2 linked regions of the Canis lupus familiaris genome follow. The protein of the gene in region 2 purifies or fractionates together with the protein of the main gene of each other region. This does not show direct contact. Links are inferred from orthologs where the notes say so. Each region holds a gene or a part of one and is shown on either strand. Other genes may lie near its edges.

Region 1 (4,132 bases), on a different chromosome or scaffold from region 2:
AAATGGAATCCACATACACTGCTGATGGGAATGCAAAAATTATGCAGGCACTTTAGAAAACAATCTGGCAATTCTTCTAGAGATTGATCATAACTAACCCAGCAATCCCACTCCTAGGTGTTCGAACAAGAGAAATGGAAACATGTTCAAAACTTGCATTTGAATGTTCATAGCACTGCTATTTTTTTTTTTTTAAAGACTTATTTATTTGAGAGAGAATACAAGTGTTTGGGGGCAGTCAGGGGAGAACAGGGCAGAGGGAGAGGAAGAGAGAATCTCAAGCAGACCCCAAACTCATGTGGAGCCCAATGTGGCACTCAATCTCACGACTCTGGGATCATGACCTGAGCTGAAATCAAGAGTCAGATGCTCACTTGACTAAGCCACCCAGGTGCTCCAGCACTGCTATTTTTTCTTTTAAGATTATTTTATTTTATTTTATTTATTTATTTTATTTTATTTTTTAAAGATTTATTTATTTTAGAGAGAAAAAGCACTGTGCATGTATGTGGGGAGGGGGAAGGGGCAGAATGAGAGGGAGAAAAAGTCTTTAGCAGATTTCATGCTGAGTGTGGAGGCCGACGGGAAGGCTTGATCTCACGACCTGAGCCAAAACCAAGAGGTGGCTGCCTAACTGTGCCACCCAGGCACCCCAACAGCACTGTTCTTCTTAACAGTCAAATAGCCAAAAAGCCAACAGCCAGAAGTAGTATGAAAAAAATCATTAATATTCCCAAAAAACCTGAATGTCCAACAATGATGAATGGATGTGATATATCCATTTACTGTGATATTATTCAGCAGTAAAAAGGAATGGGATACCGACACATGTTACAACATGGATGAACTTCAAAAACATGATTTAAATCCAAAAAGCCAATTACAGAGACAACAGATTGTAGGATTCCATTTATATAAAATGCCCAGAGTAGACAAATCTATAGACTGGTGGTTGTCTAGAGTTGAGAGGATGAGAAGAATGGAGGACAAATGCTAAAAGATACAGGATTTCTTTTTTACAATGATGAAAATGTTCTAAGGTTGACTGCGGTGATAGTTGCACAATTCTGCAGATACACTAAAAACCACTGAATTGTACACTTTAAAAGTTAATTGTATGGCATGTGAATTACAGCTCAATAAAGCTGTTACTAAAGAAAAGTAGAACTACACTTTAAAGTTCTTAAAAGTAATTCATAAATTATTAGAATCAGTTATCAAATTTCACCATCTAATACACATTCAAAAAGAGGTCTCTATTTAAATAGCCAGTTTTATTCAATTCTGGTTCAATATCCTATTTTTACAATAAATTGTGGTAGTAACCAACCAACAACATAAAAAGAAAGTGCCATAGTTATAGTCTTAGCAGTGGAATTGAGACTATATTTTTAATTTTAAGTATATACATAAAACTTATTTTGAAAAGCTTCCTAGCAATTGTCTATTGGTGGATTCTACCCCTTTAAGTAAAAAACAAACCACAAAGAGAGTTAGAATAAGGAAAAGACAGGGATGCCTGGGTGGCTCAGTGGCTGGGCCTCTGCTTTTGGCTAAGGTTGTGATCCCAGGGTCCTGGGATCAAGTTCTAGATTGGGCTCTCCACGGGATGCCTGATTCTCCCACTGCCTCTCTCTCTGCCTCTCTGTGTCTCTCATGAATAAATAAAATCTTAAAAAAAAAATAATGAAAACACAAATGTTTCCCATATTGTACTAAAAGACACTTTTACATCATAAGATGTTGGAAAGAGTGAATAATGAGATTCAGAGCTTGTACAAAACAGGAATGTGTAAAATAAAGTCAAGCAGACTATGCCCTCCAGTTTTTTAGCACAATGGCAGGTGGTCAATAAATGAATCAGTAAATGAAGGAACAGTAATAAGATAGGAAGTGAGTGAGGGCTTCAGGTTGCTAGATAAAAAAGAAAAAGACTAATTCCTTTCCTCAATAAGTATTTCTTGAGTACTTATTTTAAAAGTAACCTATCTACCACATTCCTTTCAAATGCTATCTTTTCAAGATTCTGCAAAACTTCTAGATGTACACATATCTGCATAGAATGTTCTGGGATAAATCAGAAATTGAACACTATATAAAAAACACTCTAGACTCTGAGACAATTATAGAACTAAAATCCTTTATCTGAAATTCCAAAAATCTAAAAAGTTCTGAAAATCAAGGTTTCGTAAGTTTGAAGCCAAAACATATTTGTAGGAAAACCTGACCTGAATTGATGCTAGCTAATTTATTTATATGCTTTACTTATACACTTACAGCAATGAGACATTTCTTTCTTTTTTCTTTTTTTTTTTTTTTTTTTTAGCGTGGGAGAGATGGGGAGAGGAGGAGGAAAGAGAGAAACTTAAGCAGGCTCTACACCCAATGCAAAGCCTGACTCAGAGCTTGATCTCATAGCCCTGATAATCATGACCTGAGCCGAAACCAAGAGCCCAATGCGGAACCGACTGCCTCACACAGGCCCCCAGTAATCAAACATTTCTCCGAGAAATACTAATATTTTTGGAGGTGCTGCTCCAGATGCAAAAAGGCTATTATATAATATGCACTTAACTATCTTTCTAAAATCTGAAAAACTCTGAATTCCAGTCATATTCTGTTCCAGAGTTCTGAATAAGATGCTCTGTACTTGTATAAAATTCACTTTGAAAGACTAGAAAAAGGAATAAAAACTTATTTGAATCTGTTTGAGAAATTAAGATTCTAAACTCACCCTTTCACTTTTCACAGAACCAGTGACATCATCATCATTTAGGTGGCGCTTGAACTTGGGAGGCATACTTTTTACTCAAGAAGTACTCTTCTGTTTCCCAGCAGAGTAAGTATTCGCCACCTTGAAGAGAAAAATAAATTCCATCTGATTCGAGATTTTGGGGGCACAAGATAAATTACTTAAATAGTGTTCAAGGCCTTGTACAATGGAGCCTCCTTCACTTCTCTGACTTCAAACTACCCGCCTTCCGCCTTTGCTTCATTCCACGTGATCCTGTCCTCCACGCCAGGCCTCAATACATTAAAAAATAGTTAAAACTATTAAAATAGGTGTAACTTTTAAAAGAGAACATGTAGGGGAAACTAGTGAAAAGTTTTTACAAAATTCAAGAGTGGATTGCTTAAGAGAGGGGAGAAATTAGGAGAAAATGAGACATTAAATGCTTTAAAATTTTTAACCTGGAATTAACAGACAGCAGAACACTCCTGTCTTTTCACATTTTTTAGTTAGTCGATTAAACAATTATTCAGTTTCTTCATCTGTAAAATAGTGATTTCTAGGTATCCACGTGAAGTTTGGATGGTCAAATCAGGTAATACATAAAAATATTGTGTAAGTTATAACATCCTATACTAAAGCACAGCACCAGACTCCAAGAAAAGGATAAAGTAAGTAGTGGGTTAAACAGAGACAGGCTTTTTAGTTTTATTTTTTTTGCTACAGAAAGTCTCAGCTTGTTATATGTTAATATGCATTGTGATTTTCCAGGAAAATGCTTGACTATGCAGTTTATTCAAATTTTCTTGAGAAAAAGCTGACATGCAAATTTAGTTTTCAGTATCTTGGAGTAGAAGATAGATGAAAAATGCGAATAGCTAAGGTACTGAATCTTTTACTCTGTGGTAGGTGCTGTGCTCAGGGATTTACATGTATTTTCTTTTAGTTTTTATGACACTCCTTTAAAGTAGGCACTAAGAAACTAAGAGAGAACCAAGCCCTAATAAAGATACGTAACACTACTGATTGAAACAGCAGAAACACAGGTTCAAATTAATCAATGGCTATGCATGATCGGTTTTAATATTTACTCAACTAATTGCCTTTCAGGTTCTGTTCTAGAAAGACTACTTCCCTATTAGAAACCAGGAGCCCTCTCTTCCTTTTCATGAGAAGAAACAACTCTTTAAGATCTTTAAGTATAATTAGACATCAGTTCGCTGGCTAATATTATATACTAGCCCAGAGTTTAGTCTCATAAACCAAACAAAAGTATTTATTTTAAGTTGGTTTCCTATCGAAACAAATTGACAGTCTTCTTTGATAAGAAATGCTTCTAAACAAAAAACTTAACCACTTGTAACAAAAATCAAATCTTGCTACCTAAGTAACAGCTCTAGA
Region 2 (3,926 bases):
CAAGTAAATTATAGTTTATCTCCTCTAGATCAACCACTAATGCTATTCAGAAAGAGATTATAATTACTTTTAATTATACTTTTTAAATAGTGGTACATATTGTTAGTCCACAGACCTATATCTGAAATGCATAACGACATGGATATACTTTTCATTCATCCTTTTCTATTTATCAATTAGAAACAGATTATAAAGGGAGCAAGCATAAGTAACTATTAACAGGGAAACTACTACATTTTTAAAGAATTACTGTCATTCAATTAGTCAAATCAGTAAGCATTTTTCCATTGCCAGCTAAACAGTCTTCTTTCAATTCCACTGGAGCTCCTATGTTTGGGCTTTACATTATACCATATGCAAGGCCAAGTCAAGCCTTTATTTTTAAGGCACTTAAAGGTTTCCTTCTATATAGTAAGAATAGTTACATTAAAACATAAAGACAAGAAAAAAAAATCAATTGTAACAAAATCTGTTTTCTTAGAAACAGGTTTTACAACTTTGCACCCATGGATGACTTTGTTACTTTATATAAAACATCTTCCCAGTACAAAAATCTATTAGCCCAAATAGAAAATGCTTCTCTTTTAAAACTGTTACAATTAAAAATGAACAAAAATCCAACTAAAATCACAAGTCCTGAAACTCTGGGACTCAAGTCAAAGGAAGTAGTCTCCAGCAACAAGGATAATAAAAATCAAGATGGTCTTGGGCAGTGGAGAAAGGCAGAACTGAAGAGAAGAGGCGAGGTGATGTATCATGAAGTGATGAGGCCATCAGCTATTTTCTCCACAAAAATCTCTGAGGCAGCAGAGCTCGGTGATATATGCTACCTTGGTTTTCTCCTCCTGTTCCCTCACTTGGGCTCATAAACCTCTTTAAGACATCATCCACCTCTCCAGAACTAACTGGGACTTCAGGAGATGAGTGGGGTGTAAGTTCAGAGATCCTGGTTTCAAGCAAATGTCCCTATTAATAGAAAATAGGTGAGGGAAGGGGAAAGAAAAACAAATAAAGGAAGAAAATTATTTATAAACACGCACGTTTGGGGGAAGTAGGGAAAGGGAAATAGGAATGTCAACTTAGGTCCTGCAGAGATTACTGCTGACATCAAGGATTGACTAAGGAGGTGGGAAACAGGAAGCTGCCCACCAGTTCACAGATCAGTGAGCATCCCCTTTTCTACGCACTACACCCCAGAGCCAGGTAGGCCCAAATCCAGACGATGGTTCAATTTCCTTAACAAAACTAAGCTAAAAGTAGTAATCCTATCTGTAGCTAACCACTCAAGTTAAATCTGTATTTAGGGAAAGATAAATCCTAAACCAGTGTCTCACATAACAAAAAAAAATTACCAAATATCATATTCATCGGTTCATTTACTTTAACATTTTTTCTGAGCCCTTTCTAGGTAAATGCCAAGTTGACAGTTGAGCATGGAAAGTAAGTCATGCTAAAACACAAAAACAAGGGGAGCCTGGGTGGCTCAGCTGGTTAAGTGTCTGCCTTCAACTCAGGTCATGATCCCAGGTCCTGGGATGGAGCCCTTTGGCAGGCGGCTCCCTGCTCGGGGGGTGAGTCTTCTCCTTCTCCCTCTGTCCTTTGCCCCTGTGCCCATAGCTCTAATTAATAAATAAATAAATAAATAAATAAATAATAAATAAATAAATAAATAAAATATCAAAAAAATTTAAAAACCCACAAAAACAAAATCAAGAACACTTATAGGTAGGATACGTGGAATTTCTAAAGCGAGAAAAACTGTACCAGGTGTTACAGAAAATTGGGTTACGGTCTCCCAAGAAGGATGAGAAATAAGAAGTGGGGTGGAGGGGTGTGTGAAAGATACTAATAGCAGCTTGCACCAAAACAGGGCTTTTCGTATGTTAAATCATTTAATCTCCACAACTCCACGAGAGAGACGTACGGCTAGCTCTCCCCTACTGACCAAGAAGGAGAAAGCTGAGAGAGGTTTAACAAACTTTCCTTTGTTTTTTTTTTTTTTTTTTTTTTTTTTTTTTTTTTTTAATTAAGAAACTTTCCTAAGTGCCCCGACTTTTAAGTGACAGAGCTGGGATCCGAACCCTGGCACCGTGGCTCTTAACCGGCCTGTTCTGCCACCTGGGATACTATCATTGCTAACAAAACAACAGGACTGTGTATCGCAGACCCATGTTGTTGTTGTTGTTGTTGTTGTTGTTTTCTCAATTTTTTTTTTTTTTTTGGACCCATGATCTTGATGCATCCACTCGCTCCGTTTGAAAACTCGCATCTCCCTTTCACAAACGAGACAAAAAAACAACACGAAAACCGAGGACTCCGAGAAACGTGCCCAAGGTAGTGCAAGGGACGGGGCGTCCCGGCGCTCCACGAGCCAGCCCGGACGGTCCCTTAACCCTGCGCCGAGTGCAGCTGCGTCGCTCCGCGAGGGCCCCGGCACCACCTGGCGCCTTAGAGACGCTCCCCCGCCCCGCCCCCGAGCCTCGGCGCCCCCGGGGCCACCCCCGCCCGCCGGGTCAGGGCTCTCACCAGGTGGGAGTCGGGGGACCCTCGCAATCTTGCCGGTGATCTCTGCCGTGAGCACCGCGAAGTCCTGCTCGTAGCCTTCGAAGTCGGATGACATGGCGGCTCCGGAGTGACGGCCCCGGGCCGGAGCCCAGGTCGTGGCAGGGGCCACGCGGGACAGAGGAACGCGGTGTCAGGACCCCGGGAGGCGGCCTCGGGAGCAGAGCGGGGAGAACCGGGGACAGCTCCCAACCCGGCCGCTTCCTGGTTGTTCGTCGCAATCACAGTCCCCCCCACCCGCCCCGGAATTTGCCTTGGGTGCGTTGTTTTTTGTCCGCTCGGGCTTCAAGATTTAAAAATTCGCGAAAGAATAGCGCTTCTATTACTGCCCCCCCTCCCCCAACAAGAAGCTTTCGGAAACCTGAGGATTCTTGGGGGGGGGGGGTCACTGGAAGCTTTTTTTTTTTTTTTTGGCCCTTCTATCTCCTGAAAATAGAGCTCTAAGTCGCAGGAACTTGCTTCCCGAGGGAAGTCTGATGCGGCGAACCTCCCGGAAGTGGCTGTCGCGGGGACCGCGCACTGGGCGGGAGCGGGAGAGCAGCGGCCGGAGCGCCGGCTGGGGAGACGCGCTGGCGGCGCGGCGGGCTCCGCGCTGCAGCCCCGGACAACCGAGATCTGCTTTACTGCTTGCGCGGGCCTGACTTTCCCGTGACGGGGTTGTCGGCGGAGGAGAAGACCCGTTCCGGGTGAGCCCAGGCCGCCCCGGAAATGCGATGGCCGAGGAGCGGGTACCGAGGACCAGGCTGAGAGGTGGGAGTCCAGGCAAGGGATGGAATCATGATTCGGGCGGTGATTCGCCCCGCCCCCCCCCCCCCCGAGTGAGCCCAGAAGCTCCAGAATGTTGAAACCAACCACGCTGGGCGGGATGCTCGTCCCCGAGCGAGAACCTGGAAGCGCTCTGTTCTGCGGCGCGGGCGGGAAATTGAGGCTCGAGCCGTGGCATCTGTTGCGCGAAGCCCCTTATGACCCTGCAGCCGAGATCCTCCCGCCGATCCACGGCTGCCCAGCCCGACACACCCTTCCACGGGTCTTCCGGCGCCCTGCATCCTGCCTTTCCTGTCCCTCGCTCCGGAGGCACTTCCTCATCGTGTTTTGTTTTGTTTTGTTTTTCTTTCTTTTCCCCCAAATATTTTCTTTCGTGTTCATCCTCCTGTGTTCCTCGAGGCCCGTCCCCTCCCCTCCTTTCACTCTGTCTTTGCTTTCACTGGCTCGCCTCTTAACCTTCGGCCCAAATAGACCCTTAAGTTGGGTGTTTTGGCGCGAGCCCAGGCCAACGTGTAGACCGTGTCGGGCTCCTCCTACCTGGCGAATCGAGCCTCGGTTGTTGGAGGCTGTTTGAAACTTCGTAAAAGGATTTCAGCGAC

The links.
Region 1: the proteins of VTI1A (region 2) and VAMP4 purify together in Homo sapiens (affinity purification with mass spectrometry; 4 studies listed by BioGRID and IntAct, counting the BioPlex papers as one, with this or other methods). This does not show direct contact. The link is inferred for Canis lupus familiaris from reciprocal best matches to the Homo sapiens genes VTI1A and VAMP4.

The regions. Positions count from the first base shown.
Region 1 is NC_049228.1:27,206,140-27,210,271, reverse strand, and holds the start of VAMP4 (vesicle-associated membrane protein 4), read right to left. Parts: upstream 2,801-4,132; coding exon 2,735-2,800; intron 1-2,734. UniProt on the Homo sapiens protein: Involved in the pathway that functions to remove an inhibitor (probably synaptotagmin-4) of calcium-triggered exocytosis during the maturation of secretory granules.
Region 2 is NC_049249.1:23,792,574-23,796,499, reverse strand, and holds the start of VTI1A (vesicle transport through interaction with t-SNAREs homolog 1A), read right to left. Parts: upstream 2,801-3,926; 5' UTR 2,621-2,800; coding exon 2,527-2,620; intron 1-2,526. UniProt on the Homo sapiens protein: V-SNARE that mediates vesicle transport pathways through interactions with t-SNAREs on the target membrane. These interactions are proposed to mediate aspects of the specificity of vesicle trafficking and to promote fusion of the lipid bilayers.